3 linked regions of the Arabidopsis thaliana genome follow. The protein of the gene in region 2 interacts with the protein of the main gene of each other region in a pairwise test. Each region holds a gene or a part of one and is shown on either strand. Other genes may lie near its edges.

Region 1 (6,434 bases), 4.8 Mb from region 2:
CATAAAAATTAATAATAGCAAATTTGGAAAATTAAGAGAAGACATGATATATTATGTTTACTTATGGTATTAGTACGATTTTTTGTATTAATGATTGAGAACTATTTATGGATATCAATTATGGTTAAACAAACGTAATTGATGTTTGTTGGCATCGTTGCCTTATCCCATTTCGTTTGCTTCAATATTTTGAAAAATTAAATAATGAATTTGAATATATGAAAGATATGATTTTTGTCATTTTAAATAAAAATAATAAAATGTTAGCTGAAATATTTTCCAATAGCATATTTTGTAATATCCCACATCCTACTATATTATTTGGAAAGTACATTTTAAATGTAACCTTAATTTTTGTAAGTAATTACATAGGTATGCCATTAGAAATAAAATTTTAAAGAATAAATTAATTTATCTCTTTAAGGATTAAAAAGTCAAATACTAATTTAATTAATTAAATTTAACATAAAAACGGAATACATTATTAATTTCCAAAAATAATAACCAATCAAAATCAACATATAAGATTTGATATCTAAATTTTAATTAATTTAATTTAATTAGAAAAATGAAATGCATTATTAATTTCCAAAAAAGTAACCAATTAAAATCAACAAATTAGATTTGATATCTAAATTATCATATTAATTTTTTATTAATTATTATAGTTCACTTCTCATCTTTATATGATTCTATTTTTGCCGAAAAATAATATCATCATTATAAAAAAATAATTTGAGTTTTTTCGCATATGTCATAATTTGAATTTTTAAAAACGAATATAAACTGTTCAATACATGAAAAAAATTATAACGGATGAAAAATAGATTTAAGAAAACTTTCTACTGAGTAACTGGTCATAATTTGAATTATTTCTATTCAATTTCATACATATTATATTGAAAATTTATAATCTTATATACTACAATAATTAATAACATATTAGATGTGATTCAATTTTTAATACAAGCTGGAAAATCCTAGAATTAACGGGTTTAGATCGATATTAATACAAGATGGTATACTACATGTCAAACTCTTAAATTAACAATCAAACTACAAGTGTATAATCTTAAACACTAAACAATATAGATAATATCAACAAAACATATACAACTCACAGTTTACTATACATTTAAAATCAAATAAAATAATATCATATATTTTTAAATCATCTTTACAATAAAAGTTTTTAGTTTAACTAAAATATAAGGCTACTTGCGGTATACTGCAGGTTAATATCTAGATTATAGGGCTTATTGGATCTAGAGATGGGTCATCAAAGATTTCCTAAACTGAAGCAAAATATACTGAATATTCAAATATCTATCTATTACCAAATTATAAACAAATAAGTTCGTAAACAATTTAATATTTTATTTACGAAATCAATTAAATCTTAATCACATAAAAATTAGCACAAAAAAAAATATTCAACAATTAAAAAATAACAAATCTCTGTGTTATATAAGTTTTGATACTATATTCGAATAAAGTGTAATATACCTTTTCAATTTGTATTCTTTAACTAATTTAAGCTAACAAATATATTTGCTAATCTTATACCTATCAAAACCGACAATCGTTTCTTATCTCTATAGTATTTTTGCAAGACTTTTTTGGTGGATTTGGATAAAAGTGCGTTCGGCTCATATGGTACATTCCCCTATTAAATAAATATGGTGCACTCCTATGTTATTAACTAAAATGTTTAGATTATAATTCAGAGTCATATCATTAATAAAAATAATATTAATAAATAAATGGCTTTTTGGCAAGACAGATTTAGAGAGACGGGTTTTTGAATCAACATTAATAAAAAAAATAAAATATAATTAATCCACCGTTTCAATACGGGTTAAATCTTTAATTTATTATTTTCTAAGACCACTAATATTAAACATATCAAATCATCCTAATTTAGAAAAGATTATATAAAACAAAAAATGTTATGTGGTATGTATAATGTTACTATATATAAAATTAAACTATAAAATATAAATGTATTAGAAAATGATACAATTTGCAAAACTTTTATATAAAAAATAATTCTTAAATTTTAAAAATTACTACTTAAAAAAAAATCACAGGACGGGTAAAGAAATTACAGAACGGGTTTTATTTTAGAATTGAGTTATATGGCGGATGTATTTGAATTAATATTTATAAAATTTTAAAATATTATTAATATGCTGTTTTAATAGGGGTTAAAACTTCAGTTTTTTAACAATTGTCTCATGGATTCGTGGTATAGCGTTAGTTAATAACAATTATAAATTGTAAAATATAAATATTTTATAAAATAAAATTTGCAAGTTTTAATATATATTACTTTTAAAAAATAAATCGTCCCGCGGTATACCGCGGATTAAAATCTAGTAACATCTAGTTATTTTGCTAACAACATTTCTCAAATAATAGTATAGAGATGGTATAGAATCTACAAAGTGCAAACTATCACTTATAATTATTTATCAAATTAAAGCTGATAACATTTCGTACTAAATTTCAGCTTTAGAGTTTAAAGTGCAAATTATTAAACATTTGAACATATCAATTTCTTAATATTTAACAAAGTTTCTCCTTATTTTTTTATAGTTCTCTTAAATATATATATATATATATATATATATATATATATTGTATATCTAGTACTTTATAAGTTCATAATAACATTAGAATTTTATAATTATGTAAATAGAAAAGATTATTAACTAAAAAAAGAAAGAAATTGTCCCACGTCATTACATTGTCAATCTCATATGATAGTGAGAGTAATATTTTGATTTTGCATCTATTAGAAGCGTGTAGATAAATCACATAAAAATATTACGGAGCTTACTATACAAATTCGATGAATAAAAAATGAAAGAATTCCTCGAAGCTTTTGTAGTATTGTGTACCAATAAACCCAGTCTGAATAAACCAATGGTGGAGTCTATTATGGGAAAGTGAAAAAGCAAAAATAACTGAGAAAATAATAGACCAAATAAAGCATAAGGACAAGAATTGTTGTTTTCACGAAAACCACGCAATGTAAATCATCAACATGGATTGTTTCAATATGGTATCTTCCTCTATTTAGTGATCTAGAGATTGTTTCTTGTTTTTTTTTTTTTTTGCATTCTAAGGAGAAGAGGTGATCGAAACCAACCACACGGGAGGAGCTTATGCCATTTTCCTCCCCGTGGAAGGTCTAACAATCACACGTCTCCTAATCTCGTACGTCTTCTTAGGTATGTTCTTTGCATGTTAAAGAAACTGTATCTTCAATTCTTGTCATTACATGATAATGGTTTTCTTATACATGTTTTGCTCATACCTTATAGGTTTTGAAGAATGGAAAATTTAAGGAGGTTGTCAAACCCGGGAAATTTCGGATTCATTGGAAGATCACAATCACGAGTTCCCCAAAAAAACATGGAAAATAACATTTCTCCTCCTAATAATATGCACCACCATAGTGCTTCTTTAGATGATCTTTTCACAGAAGACCAACCAGCTTGGCTCGATGAGCTCCTAAGTGAGCCAGCATCACCTAAGATTAACAAAGGTCATAGACGTTCAGCTAGTGACACAGCTGCTTACTTGAACTCAGCTTTAATGCCTTCGAAGGAAAATCATGTTGCTGGTTCGTCTTGGCAGTTCCAGAACTATGATTTGTGGCAGTCCAACTCTTATGAACAACACAATAAATTAGGATGGGATTTCTCTACAGCAAATGGAACTAATATCCAAAGAAATATGTCATGCGGAGCTTTAAATATGTCGTCGAAACCCATTGAGAAACATGTAAGCAAAATGAAAGAAGGAACTTCTACAAAACCAGATGGTCCTAGATCAAAGACTGACTCAAAACGTATCAAACAGTAAGTAGTCTTATCTTTGTCATGTGTACTTATAATAGGTTATTAAAATGTCCCACATCGATTGAGATTAAGATCTTTAGGCATTATCTGGCAATCCTTAACTCTTGAGCTAACTGTTGGGATAAGTTAGACCACATTCCTAATATAGGTTGATAAACATATTTCTGATGCGGTTTAATAATATACAATTTTATCGAAAATTATTAAAATGCAGTCAAAATGCTCATCGAGCGCGTTTGAGAAGGCTTGAGTACATATCAGACCTTGAAAGGACCATCCAAGTGCTACAAGTAAGATTCTAAAGGCTCGTGTATTTCTCGAAGTTCTTTAATTTCATTAATAATATGAAAAGATTCCTAATGTTATATTATACATGTTGGATTTTCTTCAATAGGTTGAAGGATGTGAAATGTCATCTGCCATTCACTACTTGGATCAGCAGTTACTCATGCTTAGCATGGAAAATAGAGCTTTAAAACAACGTATGGATAGTTTAGCAGAAATCCAAAAGCTTAAACATGGTATTTAACCTTTCATATCACTACTAAAATGGATCAAAATGCATTTATTTTGTTCTCTTGTAAAATTTTGATTTTGGTTGGTTAATACAGTGGAGCAGCAATTGCTTGAGAGAGAGATAGGAAACCTACAGTTTCGACGACACCAACAACAACCACAGCAAAACCAAAAACAAGTCCAAGCAATACAAAATCGATACAACAAATATCAACCACCTGTTACACAAGAACCCGATGCCCAATTTGCAGCCTTGGCAATATGATTTAGGAAATATGGATACATTGTTCAGATTAAGCTGAGCTCCTCTTGCTCTACCTTAATGTCCATACAACATAGGTGAACTTGATGTTTGTAGCCTTGAATGAAAACCTAAAAAAGCATCGTTATGTAAATCAAAATGTGGTTGCCCATATCCTCCTCTATTGCATTTCTCTCTATTTATGGCATGGTAGAGAATCTCTTGTCAAGAAACTTCATGTTATGTAATAACTTGTAATCCTTCTTATTTCATCTATTATATATATGAATAAGTAATTTTTTTGACAATTTCCTTTATCTATATATATACAAGTTGTGACCGATTCTAGTAATAAAAGGAAAAAAAAAATATATATATATATATATATATATATATAAATATTCTGTATACTATTTTATACACCAGTCAAGATAATATGAAAATTAAGATTAATATTTAAAAAATGAATTTACGAAAACATAGTAATTTGTTGGGTTTATGCAACAGTAAAAAAAAAAATCCTTTAAGCCGCCATTGTATTTTAATTTTACCCTCCATCTCAAAAAATGCATATTAATCATAGTAAGTAAAAAAACTGATATGAAATATAATTCTCATCCATATCTTTTAAAAGATTTTATGGCTACATACATTATATATATATATATATATATTTATTTTTAAATGGTCTTTCAGCATCGTCGGGAGAACTTCAAGTTGAGATACTATATATACAAACTTTACAAATTTGACAACGATTAAGAAAGATTGTATTGCGTATTATTTAGACTTTCAATAACTGATTTGCAGTATCATTTGTTATTTTGTTTAGTTTCTAACCCTAAGTTACAAAAATTAACCAATTTGTTCATATATTTTTTCTATTAGATTAGGAAAAATTCTCAAATCTAAATAATCTCCGAATATATAACTCTAACTAGAATTTAACCCGTGGTATACCACGGGGCAAATGTTTTATTCATATTTAATAATATTAAATTTTACGGTTTTAATTTAGTATTAAAGTTATATAATTTTATATTAATGTTGTAACTAAAAAATTTAGTGATGATAAAATAATAAAATAAATATTTAATCTGTGTTATATGAATCCAAACCCGTCCCGCTATATTTCATATCAATTCAAACTCATTCCGCTATATTTCTCATCTCATGATATTTTAAATTTTTTATAAGTTTAAATATTAATAATATTTTATAAAGTTAAAATATATTTCTCGTCTCATGATGTTTTATTTTTTTTTAAGTTTAAATATTAATAATGTTTAAAAATTTAAGATATATCAATAATAATATTTAAAAAATAAGAATTGTCTTTGTCTTTAATGTGATGATATTCTTTCTAAATTGTTACTTTACTAACACAAAAGTACTTTAAAAAGGTACTTCAAATTTTTTAATATATATAATGTTATTGTTTTGGTAAAAATTATTATAAATAAATATTTAGTTTAATCATAATTTGGGATTGATATACTTGTGCTTTTGACTAACTTTTTTTATTTTAATAGCCTAAATTTGAGCATTTTGTTAATATTATTTGAATGAGCAATATTAGATTAATAGATGTACAATTTATTTTTGTCAGAAAAAGAACAAAATTTAATAAAAATCAAAAAATAAAGTTTTAGGGAGTGATAATTATTTTGTACAATTGCAAACTTAAAACGAAAAATGTGGATTGGGAAAATAATTAGGGTTTCAAATATTTAAAATTTTACGTAATTAATTTTTTAATAAATATATTAAAGCATATATTGTAATATAAAATTTGATTCATTTTATAA
Region 2 (6,434 bases):
TATATCTTACAAACATTGCTGGAATAATATCGATTATTTGTTATGCATCATATTCCAAAACTAAGATATCAAGGGTTTTTGCAAAACAATACCCACATAAATATAAAAATTCTAAAATTAACAGGTTAAATACCGATATACCTAACCTAGATCACTCCTTTATTTGATGTAAAACACTTGACTAGTCGGCTACTCGGCTATAAACCTATAACCAGATATAACTATCAATTCAAATATTAAAAGTGTAACAACTAACAAGTGGTTCAAGCTGATGATGGTATGGGTATAAACTAGTAATCCTAACATTTTATAAAAGTTGGGTGAGGATCAACGGTCGGGATCCAAGGGAATGGGATGGAGGGACCAAAGCTGTGTTTGTTTTTTATATGGATTCATACGAAACCGTAACTTTGTGTCAGATAATTTTCGAACAAACATGGCCCGAAAATGGATGGGTCAATCAACCTGTCCATCAACGAAAAGACCCTTTTAACACTTTTTTTTAATAGAGAAAATAGAGGAACATATTTGATAAAATATTGGTTTATAAATCTTGTTATTGTTTTTCCGTTGATGATTTACATTATGGAAACAAGGTTTCGAAGCACTAAACTCATTAAATATGGTTGCAAATCTATAAATATTGGCTAAAAAATCATGGCTGGTCACTATGAACGTTGGAGATTAGTTTGGAAAAATTCCATAGTTATTAAAAAATGGTTGAGAGGCTTAGTAAATTTCCTCAATAATTTATTTGTTGGATCCTAGGTCACAATTAGAATGGACCACGAGCCGAATTATAAATTCAGTACTTTAGCTGCATGTATAATACGTAGACGAACTTTATAATTGGGTTACATATATTTATGTCGTCTTACATTATTTGGTGATAGATTATTGCAATTATATAGATAGGTAGGGAGATAGGTACAGAAAAATGAAAAGAATCTATCAAATCACAAAGCCTAGATATGTTGATGGAAAATGAATATAACATCGCACGTAGTTTCCTGAGCTCAATACTCAACATCAGCATCCAAGTGGCGCATCGCATGGATAACCAGAGAAAGAAAATATTGAACATTTTGATTGTGTCTCCAGAAAAAATTTGTATTGTTTTTTCTCACCAAGAATATGCATATGTGAACAAATAATATGTTAAATAAATAAATAACATATTTTCGTCTGATCTTTGCCAATAATAAGAAGGCAAACTCGTTTGTGATATATATATTGTTTTCGCTTTTGTGACTTCATATTTATCTAATTTCAAGTCTCCTTTCTTTAACTTAATTTCCCCTTGATTATTTATGATACGTTAGGTGATTTAGAGCAACCAATAGTTTGCAAGTACCTTTAAGATGAAAATGACTTTCTCTAGTCTTTGAGAAAAAAAATAAAAACAGAAACAAAGTTTATATTAAAGTAGTATGAAAGAACATGCCACTTTCTTGATTGAAAATTATATGATAGACGTAAAAAGCTGTCGACAAAACTAAAAGAATAGTTCCATTCGAAATATTATAGATGCTCTCGTTCTATTTTCTTTTTGGTTAAAGTGCTCGTTTTTTTCTTGATACTCTCTTTAAATTACGGCCAATTTCATAATTTCAAACTTAATACATATGTAAAATCATTAAATATACCAAATTATGCTTATGTCTATTTTTGTGAATAAATTACATAGTTCATTTTCATAAGCTAAAGTCATCATGAATATCAGCATCATCAATTTTGGCATAAATTTCATAAATCATAAATTAGCTAAGACCATTGATTTTGCAGCTCCTATACGCCTAGACCAGCGTTTATTTTATTCTTAGTTTTATCCACAAACTTGCTTTATACAGAACTATTCTAAAGTAAACACTAGCTGATACTATATACTAATTTAATCTTAATTAGACGATTTTCCATTAGGGCCTTCTTATCTACTATCTAGGAACGGACCTTCGCTTCTCGAAACCCATTTCATCCCGTACAATCGAAGTGTCCAACATCCGAGTTGGTAAAAAATTTCTTACTACGTAGTAGGTACTAAGAATCACTTATCATATCCATATATTCTTCACATTTGATTTATTTCATACCATCATTTGAATATATATGTGTTGATTATCATTTTGTTAGTAGTCGTGTTCGATAATTTTGTTCTGTATCTAGCAACAAATTTACAGTGACAAGTATTAAAATAATACCGCTCTTTAACTATATATATGTATGTATCAGCTCACTAGTTGTTTGTAACCAGTTCTTGTTTTTCCAGTTTGATATATTCGATTCAACATACCCAAAACATCTCTCATATACTGAACTAATATCTATTTCTAATTGACTCGATTCAATATCATTAGTACTATATTATCTTCTGATATGCGACTTCATTTGTTTTCTTTCTTCTGTTCGGTTTTCCACTTGTTGTTTAACATTTTCACCTTGTTTCACTATTTGCAATCAAATAAACGATTTATGTAGGTGTATCTATATATGTTCTTAGGATCATAATAAAAATATATTTTCTACAAAGTTTTTCGAAAATATATATACATTGGGGATTATTTTTTTAACTGTCTACAGCTCACACATGCATATTATCATATTTGAATGAAGATAACGATACAATGCCGATACTGATACAAATCATTATGTTAGATGCTCAATTTGTTTCTATAGGTCCTATAATATATACATCAAGTCATCAACTATACTTTTTGAAAAGAAAATTACACAGAGCTTTCAAATAAGTTGCGTGTAGTTTAGTGGTTATATGTACTAGTAGTTATGTTACCATCTAAGTGTATTGTCGATGAGAAAAAAAAGAGTTCAAATAAACTGACATAGTATGCTGGTAAATAATCACACTTTTTCCGTTTTTTCCATTTCGTTTTCAATAATATATAATTTTGTTTCTCGCCATGTTTCATTGATATTAAAAATCTCATGATCATGCAAATTCTATCATAACACAGCCTTGGACCTTTCTTAGATATATATGTTAGGAAGGCCTTATCTCGACCTATGAAGCCTGAAGCTCCATTGAGCCTTTTAGCATATGTCCTTTTTCGTAATTATCATTTTATTTTTCTTCTCCGTTAACTTTCATATCTTTTTTCTTCCAAAAGAAAATAAATTAAGATCCCTCGAGCCTCTCTCTCTCTCTACACACTCCCATAGAAATAAATATTTTCAAGAACCAAAAAGTTTGTTATAAGCGGTTTCATATTATTCTTCTTCATCGATTCTTGATTTTGCAAGAAGACAATTCAAGAAAGCGATTTAGAAGACGGAGGAGTTCTTACCGGAGATCTTATACTTATGGATGGAATGTACAATTTCCATTCGGCCGGTGATTATTCAGATAAGTCGGTTCTGATGATGTCACCGGAGAGTCTCATGTTTCCTTCCGATTACCAAGCTTTGCTATGTTCCTCCGCCGGTGAAAATCGTGTCTCTGATGTTTTCGGATCCGACGAGCTACTCTCAGTAGCCGTCTCCGCTTTGTCGTCGGAGGCGGCTTCGATCGCTCCGGAGATCCGAAGAAATGATGATAACGTTTCTCTAACTGTCATCAAAGCTAAAATCGCTTGTCATCCTTCGTATCCTCGCTTACTTCAAGCTTACATCGATTGCCAAAAGGTGATCGTTAACTCTTTCTTTTTTTATCACTTAGATAAAATCTAGGTTTTACTTTTTAAAGATAAAGATAAGATTGAGAAGCTTTGATATTTGATTGTTTTTTTTATAATTTTATGGTTTAACAATTTCATAATTTAGAAACAGGTCGGAGCACCACCGGAGATAGCGTGTTTACTAGAGGAGATTCAACGGGAGAGTGATGTTTATAAGCAAGAGGTTGTTCCTTCTTCTTGCTTTGGAGCTGATCCTGAGCTTGATGAATTTATGGTCTCTCTCTTTTTTTCCCTCGATTTTTTTTCGGATTTTTATTTTTGTTAAAATATTTTTTTTTGGAAATTTTTGTACTTAAGAAGATAATTTATTATCAGGAAACGTACTGCGATATATTAGTGAAATACAAATCGGATCTAGCAAGACCGTTTGACGAGGCAACGTGTTTCTTGAACAAGATTGAGATGCAGCTACGGAACCTATGTACTGGTGTCGAGTCTGCCAGGGGAGTTTCTGGTATGTCTTAAATTATCCCTCTCTGGTTCGGTCTTTTAGTGGTTCTATTTTGTGGTTAGTTCTGAATGATTTCTTTTGATCTTTTCCGTGGTTTTTCATTAATAATATCCTTTCCTCGATATTTCCATAGGGTTTTGATTCATATGACCAGTTTCTGAAAAATGATTGGTAGCTTGTTGATAGAATAACCCTAGGCTTTTGAAGTGATCAGAAAGCAAAATAGATAAAAAATGAAAAAAAAGAAGATAAACCCTAGCTACAAGTTTCATTTCCATAGCTATTTTTCCCTTGATGGGTTTTGTTTTGTGTGTGCTTTTCTTTTGGGCACGTTGAAACTCTGGAGACAAAGATCTGTTTAAGGTGTTGTGCAATTATTTTACTCGTTCATTTAATGTTTTAGCCATGGGATTAGGGTGTTGGAGTGTGGTGGGGATTTCCTCTTCTTCTTGTTGTTGATCTTTGTGCTAATCATACAAATTTTACTTTATATCTTTTTCTCTTCTTTCTCTGTCAGAAAGAAAATGGTGTAGAAAGCAATAAACTTTTGTGGTAGAGATTCTGATTTTGACGTTTCAGAGGCTTGTTGCGTACTGAATGTTTTTTCAACTTGTTGCTTTTTTCTAGTGAAAAACCAATTGACAGAAAAACCTAGTCATAACTTTTTAACAATATGTGTAGTTGATTTTTCATGAGCTTCTTTTGCTTCACTTCTCGTTTAACAATAAGTAAGTATAAGTACTAGTCATAACTCATAAGTCGCTTCACTCTTGTTTATGGGTAACAACCTTATTAGGTTACCAGTTTTTCTAAGACTTCAACTTCTTTTGGTCAGATGATTATTAATAACCAATAAGCCATAAGAGTTATTAGCTGTAATTCCTCTTTAAGCTCATTCACAGATTCTCTGGATCGGAATTAATAAGCGTGTTTAGATAATTTTACGATTAAATTTCTGTTATATCTTAATAACACACCATATAATTTTTCTATCTAATTAAATAGGTTAAAACAATAAAGTTAAAATTGTATTTTAAATTTAATATAGAAGTCTACAAAACGACATTCTTTGTGAAATAAAAATTTAATCCTGAATTCGACATTTATTATGAAGAACGTAACTTTGGTCTATTTCAAGTTTCAATGATCTGAGAACAAGAGTAGGGAGATTTTTGTTGATCATCGGAAATAGTATCATTGCCAAGTGGCCACTCTTATCTGCATGTTCTTGTTGGAGTCTTGTTGGACTTATATGTAAGTAATAAACCAAAACTGACTCAATTTTGAAGCGATTTAAAAGTCTAGGTTTTATGCTTATACATGAATGAAATGCTTCAAATAAGTGACTTTCTTTGTGGTTTACTGATATTATCTCTTTAGACCACATATTGTACTACAACTAGCAAAAACATTGTGGCCATAACAAATCAACCGATCAGGTTAGCTAGAAATACTGATCCTTAGGAGTTTTTTTTTTAATACAATAAAATAGAAGAAAAACTCCAGCTGAAAGAGTTAGCTGTAAAGAAATGAAACTCCATAGATTGGTAGACTTTTTTTCAGCTTTGCAGGAGTTTTCCATTATCGTGGTCGATCTCAAATGCAGGTTCCACTTGTACTTTGGTAATATTGTTTATTGGGGGAAAAAAGCTGCTGATATATAAAAACATATCAGCTTATCTTTATAAACTAATCGAGAGTTAGCATAGAGTATCAACTGGAAAAGTTGAAAATAGATCGATGCAGGTTTTCCATAATGGACGAATGTTTATGATTAATAATTTTAAAATTTGTTCAAAGTACAACTTGCCTTTTTGAATGATCTCATCTGTTTTTTTTTTCTTTGGTTGTGTGCTTTATTTAACCATCTTTTTCTTTCACCTGAATGAAATCATAAACTAATAAAGAAAAAAGAAGCTTACAATTGTTAGACAATATTCACATGGGATGCGATGTTATCTACTAGTTTCTCAGTTCAATCACATGCTTGGTTTCTTTCATGTTGATCTGATTTAGTAATACAAGTTGATCACATAGACTTTTGATTTCTCACTTCTTGGTTGTTGTGATACGGTAATGCAACTTAGCGAAAGCCCTTCTTTGGACTAGCTAAAAAAGCAACACATTCTTTTCTTCTAATGCGTGGTTATCTTGCTACTTAGAGTGGATGGTCTCTTATTGACTTTTATAGTCAACATTTGTCTTGTTGCATGCAATATCATCAATGTTACATGTTTGCATATTTGATCTAGAAGATAAGAATACTGCAACGAGAAGAATAGGAACATAGTGCA
Region 3 (6,434 bases), on a different chromosome or scaffold from region 2:
TGGCCCATTACTATGTCGAAAGAGTTCACAACCATCTGCATTTGCTCGCAGTAATGGTTGTACCGTCGGTCCACCTGCCAACGAAACAAAACTATACATTATACAATCCATAAATATCAATATTTGCCTTTTTCTTTTAATTAATGTTATTGTTAACTCGTGTGTGTTGTGTTATATGTTCACGTGATTATTATTTAGTGTAGATTTTATCACGGGAACCTATGCTTGTGTACGAGCATCATCTAATAAATAAACTAATGAGATTAATTAGTTACCTTTAAACGAGACAAAATAAGAAAATAAGATATTATATAGACAAATTATTGACCAGAGAATATACTTCAATGTTTGCGCAATCCTACCAACAGCACATTTTATCGTATCCTCGAGCATAAACTAAAATATTTATTTCTAGTGAGAAAAAAGCAAGGTCAACTAAAAAGTAGATAATTCAATTATGGGTAAACAAATAAGTAACGTCAAGGGTTAGCTTTAGGACGTAACTGGAGAGTAGCTTATATGGAGAAGGAAACGCCAATTACATAATTAATCGTAATTATTTAATGCATTTTCTTTGATTAATCGATTCCACCAAACGCTAAGCATCAAAATATTCAATATACTTTCTAATACGACCGTCACACGAGCAAAATGATTAAATTAATTTTAATTTTAAACAAATGATGGTAGGATTGCGCAATCAAACTCTACCAAAATAATCAAAAATAAGTAGTTAATCGAGAAAACAAAAGACCAATTCAGTCATATCAGGTTTCTTGTTTCTTTGTCATAACTCTTGGATCAATTTATGAATCTTATCGAAATGTAACGAAAACAATTTTACGTAAAATGTATGAACTAATATCACTGTAGAGTATAGACAAAGTCAAAATCAATATTAAAAGTTAATATGAACATACCTCTTCAAGCATGGTGAGTAGTTTCACTTTCCTTCTTTGATGCTCAATCCGATCAGACGCCGATAAAGGAGGATGCTCCTTGTTTGCTCCGGCCGACGAAGGAGAGCTGCCACCACCATCACCACCGCAAGTATTAGGGTTTGAGCTGTTCCCAAGTTTGTTCTTCTTCAAAAATCCTCTTCCAACACTACAAAACTCTTCCAACAACTCTTGCGCGGCCGTTGTGTACCTCGAGTTTCTTAAGATATTGACCGCTGCCATGGAAGAGGAAGAAGCAGCCGGAGATGATCGGAATTGGTTTAATACTTGATGGTGATGTTGAGAAGAATTAGCAAGAAGAGTCTTGAATTGATTGTATTGATGATGAGGTGATGCGTTAGAAGAATTGGCTCCGTAGTAAATGTTTCTATACTCTTCCGCTTTTGCTGCAGCCTCTAAAGACGATGAGAGAGATAAGGACAAGCCTTGTCCTCCGTGTCCTCCGCTGTTTTCCACGTGGACGGTCCCAATCTCCGTTTGGCTGTTGTGATGATGATGATGATGATCGGGAGAAGACTGCCACGTCGATATCTGCTGGTGATGCTGATGTGGAAGCTGATGCATAGACATATGATTAGTGTAGTTCTGATGGTGAGTTGTGTTGGTGGATGGACTTGGAAGTAACATGTGAAGAGTTGAAGAATTGTGGTGGCTCCTTGGGGAAGTTGTGGATGACGGAGACGGTGGTTGTTGCGGTGGCGGTGGATTCATCAAGAATAACTGCATGGCGGCTGCGGTGGCGGTGGCTGAATCCGTAGCATTCATAGCCGGAATATTCTGATGTTGCTCCTCAAGCAACTGCCTATTTGACCGGAAAGATTGGCCGAGGTCGAGATCTCTTCCTCCACCGCTGCTTCCGGGGAAATTAAACATTTCGGATAACATACCGGCTGATTCGTAGACCGGAATCCTACCTCCGGCGACTGAAGATTCCTCGTCCATCTCTACCCTTTGATGCTCTTGCTTCTGCTGAGTTGTTAAATTGGGAGAATCTGATCGGTCGAATCCATTAGAGAAGTTGAAGATACCTCCTTGGTGTTGATTATGATGATGATGATGATGATAATCTTGGGACATAGAATTATTGTGAAAAGTCTTCAAGAGAATTGTAGTATTAGGAGAAGTTTTAGTTATTCCCATATCAATACTTCAATCTTTTTCTTCATGATATATGTTAATATCGTTCCAGAGCTCTCTCTCTCGGATCCTGTAATGATTCAGACAAAGAATTTAAAACATATGTAAGTCAGAAACTAGGTCTTACGCTGTTTTTTTGTCCATCTATCTACATCACCTATATAACTGATGATGAACAAAGACATAGAGATATATATATGTAGGTATCTATATATATGTATGTATGCAAAGAGAGAGCATAAGAAGATAATACCTTTGGAGTTTGTTGCAGAGAAGATAATTGAGCTTAGGTATCGTTTTCTCTCTCTCTTTCTCGCTTTCTTTTTCTGGACTCTCCTTTTCTTTCTTACTAAGAGTTTATTCAGAATTCACAAATATTATAAAAGATATATATATCGGAAAGAAAAATATGCGAGAGAGAGGTCACTCTTCTTTCTTCTTCGTCACCCTTTTTAGCCCACCAATCTTCTTTATTAGTTGGTTTCCTATATATATATAAAGCTGCTCGTGCAAAAAAAAAATCGGTGATTTTTTAAACTATGGTTTCTTATGAAAGATTTAGTTGAAAAGGTTAATAGTAGGATTGAAGGATAGAAATTTCTAAGATGCGTCTTTTTTTCACGTAAATGTCTTCTGCCATTAACAATTTGAAGATGTTTATTTTCGTAATTTTTTTTTTTTTTTTTTAAGTGAGTACAAGGTCATATCTCAATGATACGAACCACCACCATAAATTTTAGTAATACTATCGTGACAAAAAAAAAAAACATATATAATATTTAAAATACTGCCATATTTATATTTCCCATAATACCCTCATCTGTCATTCTTCTGATTTCACTGGACTGACTCGCAGATAGGGTCAATTAAGTCCATATTTACGTAACTGGTCATTGTTGGTGCATAGCTCCCCAGTCCTCATCAGCATAATTTAAAGTCTACACATTTATTTTAAATGTAGCATATCTCTATTATCTTAACCTGGAATACCCTAAAAGATCTTCGTAAATAAAAAACTTCATAAAAAAAAAAAAAATCTTCTTAACGTTTGTTAATTTTTTTTTTCTACTACATCAAAATTGAATTTACTTACTTTATGCGAGAATATGACTCTCTAAAACTCCGTACGACTGGTCGTAATCACAACACCACAACAAATTAATCTCATATAATCAATTGATTTTAAGTTCTAACCACAAGTTAATTATCCCTTCCAATCGACTTTTCAGGGAAATGACAAATTAGTTACATATTAATTAGCATTTTCTAATGATAACATAATATATCCCACATACATATATACCAATACAGTGTTAAATAAAATGTAAGCTGTATTTTCTAACAATTAGCATGGCCGAAGTAATAATACTCATGCAAAATAATGCAAAGGCTAGAAAAAGTATATATTCAAACTATTTTTTCCGGCCATCGATCTTGTGATCATAAATTAAATTTTACTACTTGAGGGTCGAGTACGATGTAACTATGAATGGCTTGAAGGATAATGTAATGAAATTCGGTGTGCATTTTTTTTGTTTGGTGTATCAAATAAACAATAAAAGATGAGAGTTCGCACGAGCGGGAGTTGTGGTTTGGAACGTGTGAAAGGTAGGAGGACGGTTCAGAAGTCAAGTGCTCAAAATGTTAATTAGGTTTATGTGGGGGATAATCTAGAAAACCGATGAAATCGACACATAACCGTTTTTTTGGTTCAACAGCTTTGAGTTCGAGTACTTGAGTTTCTTTTTTTGGTATGGCTAGACTATATTTTTAATTCCATGGTTAATATATAGATATCGGAATTTCTTTCTTAAAGCGGTGACATATTTCGTATCACGTCTGTCTTGCTAAAAAAATAGCATTCCCAAATTCGAGTTTTGGTGCATATCCCACAAATGGTTAGAGAAAGTATTAGATATCGCACCGTAGGCATAAGTCCATATTGGGATAAATAATTAATGGAAATGTCGAAAGCACAAGTGTAACTCCACTTATATAATAACATTGAATTTTGTTTATTGTGTGACACCATGTGGGAATCTTTCATGTCAAAATCATATCAGCACGCAAATTCTGTTATTTTTTATTTTTTATTTTTACACAGTTAATTCATGTCGGAGTAGTAATTAAAATAAAATAAAATAAAAACACTCTGTTTTTCCATTTTAATATTCCCTAGAAACGTAAAATTTCATAAAAATACGTTGCAGGTTTTATTTTAAAATTATAGCTACAAAAGTTTTATGTTCCAACTACAAAACCTGGAATGACAATTGACAGCTTAACCTTTCTACCTTCCTACCGATATTTTTTCTCGTTTTCTATTTTTTCCTTTCTGAAATAGAAATGGTTCAATCTCTCTCACGTGAATCCCACCCTCCTTTCACACGTATGCACAACTATCTGTTACGTGCCGAACCTTCCTTTTTCGTACGTGTGGAGAGGATCTTCTTCTTAGGCATTTATACTCTTTACCCACCAAAGCCAACTTGTAATGGATCCTTTTTCCTCTGCTTTATCATATCTTCAATGGTGTCAATTGTCTAACCTTCAACATATTTATTAGTCTCTTCATTTTTATTTCGACACGTTTCCGCTTTTCGACCTCACATGAACATTCAATTTCATAGTATCGAATATTTTGATTGATTTTTTAATTTCTGCGTCTTATAACCAAAGCTATGTAATGTGTTTAACTGTTCATTATCATTGAAATGTGTTCGTAGTTTAATGTAACCGGTGTATTTTGGATAGCTCTTGGATCAGAAAGTGTGATCATGTTGTGAGGTTGAGTCATTTCGACAACACAAAGGAGACTAATTTACTTGCTATGATCAGTAAGAATGTAAATCTTTAGTTGATTTTTTTAAGGTTTTAGATGAATGTATAACCTATAAATTTGGTCCTACGAAAAACAAAAAACATGAAAGCAAAGACAATGAGTCCATAAAACAAAATGTTTGCTACCAAAAATCACAAACTTATAAAGAAATATTTACACAATTAGTTTTTCACGAAAACCAAATGATTATATATATACAAACTCGTGGTGATAAATTATGATTAAATATGAAATGTTATTATATATTGCAATGATCTGTTATATCTGTCGTGATAGGTTTCATATTACCTGACTATAACAACGTTGATTTCCAGATCCTGTTTTCAGACAAAAGGATCATGAACTAAGTTATTGTTGAAAAGGCTTTCATCGGGTTTGGTCTTTTAAGTACGTTGAAGGAAAAATTATGAGTTATCATCCAGATTCGATAAAATTAGAGTTAGGTTTGATTTGATTAAATGTGGTGCAATTGCAATTTGTTAGAAGATTAAAGTCACCACTTTCTCTAAAGGAGATAAAAAAAGGTTTGATTAGCCAAAAGCTATTACAAGGACTCATAATATAGTCTCATAGCCACGTAGGTTTGATTTATTGTCTAGTCAATATACCATATGGTTTCATATCCATCAATCGTCGTCATATGAAATTCTGCAAACCATTATTATGCCTCATGAGTTTGAAAGTTGCCGGAATTACATTCTTTTTTACTGATTTTTTTTTTGGTAATTTCTAATTAGTGGTAATCTCCTTTGTGAGCTTAAGATTCATATGAAAGTTTTGTTCATTCTTAACTCTGTAAGAAGTTTTATTATACATAAAGTTGTAAACAATAAAGTCGATGAGAAAGAAACAAATAAATTTGATTATTTGTCATGAGTAATGGGAGAGTGAGACCACAAAGGGAGTTGTGAAAATGGCAGTGATGGTCCCTTCTTATTCCATTTCTTGTCCTTTTGGTGTTACTCAAATTGTTCCTTTCGTATTTACTTTTTTTTTTCTTTCTCATCTTCTATTTTAGATTCTTATTTCATTGGTTTGATGAGTAATAGTAGTTTTCAACTCTTTTACTCTGTTTCTATTTTTGCTTTTTAACCATTAATTGTTATTTTACAATCTAACAGTGTTTTACTGTTTTTGCTTAATCGTTTGACTTAACAAGCTCACTACTCTTTTTAAGGTTTGCTTTTGAGAACTGTTTTAATGTTTTTAATACAAACATATACACATATGTAACGTATGCGTGTGCATGAAAACTGTCAAAATCTAGGAACGACATGTTTCTTTAAATTTGTCCCCGACTACTATGTCAGTGTATTTGTCTTATCAAGGTTCGAATAATGTTACTTCCCATGAGGTACTTGCGAAAACTTCTGTGTTTATGTCACCATGAAGATCACAACGAATCTGAATTAGGTCACTTGTAATTTTTTTTTTTGGTCACTTGATGATAGTGTAAATGTAATCAAATAACTAAATCCTTATACAATGATCAAACG

Evidence for each region.
Region 1: the proteins of KNAT6 (region 2) and AT1G35490 interact in a two-hybrid assay, tested with the Arabidopsis thaliana proteins (one large-scale study listed by BioGRID).
Region 3: the proteins of KNAT6 (region 2) and BLH2 interact in a two-hybrid assay, tested with the Arabidopsis thaliana proteins (one large-scale study listed by BioGRID).

What each region holds. Positions count from the first base shown.
Region 1 is NC_003070.9:13,058,517-13,064,950, forward strand, and holds AT1G35490 (bZIP family transcription factor), read left to right. Parts: upstream 1-3,032; 5' UTR 3,033-3,236; intron 3,237-3,329; 5' UTR 3,330-3,339; coding exon 3,340-3,869; intron 3,870-4,083; coding exon 4,084-4,159; intron 4,160-4,263; coding exon 4,264-4,390; intron 4,391-4,480; coding exon 4,481-4,650; 3' UTR 4,651-4,939; downstream 4,940-6,434.
Region 2 is NC_003070.9:8,299,374-8,305,807, reverse strand, and holds the start of KNAT6 (homeobox protein knotted-1-like 6), read left to right. Parts: upstream 1-3,207; 5' UTR 3,208-3,315; coding exon 3,316-3,636; intron 3,637-3,774; coding exon 3,775-3,903; intron 3,904-4,004; coding exon 4,005-4,143; intron 4,144-6,434. UniProt on the Arabidopsis thaliana protein: Plays a role in meristem function. Contributes to the shoot apical meristem (SAM) maintenance and organ separation by controlling boundary establishment in embryo in a CUC1, CUC2 and STM-dependent manner.
Region 3 is NC_003075.7:17,365,088-17,371,521, reverse strand, and holds the start of BLH2 (BEL1-like homeodomain 2), read right to left. Parts: upstream 2,608-6,434; 5' UTR 2,350-2,607; intron 2,344-2,349; exon of another isoform or gene 2,167-2,343; 5' UTR 2,100-2,166; coding exon 921-2,099; intron 75-920; coding exon 1-74. UniProt on the Arabidopsis thaliana protein: Transcription factor that establishes leaf shape by repressing growth in specific subdomains of the leaf. Negatively regulates knox homeobox gene KNAT1/BP expression.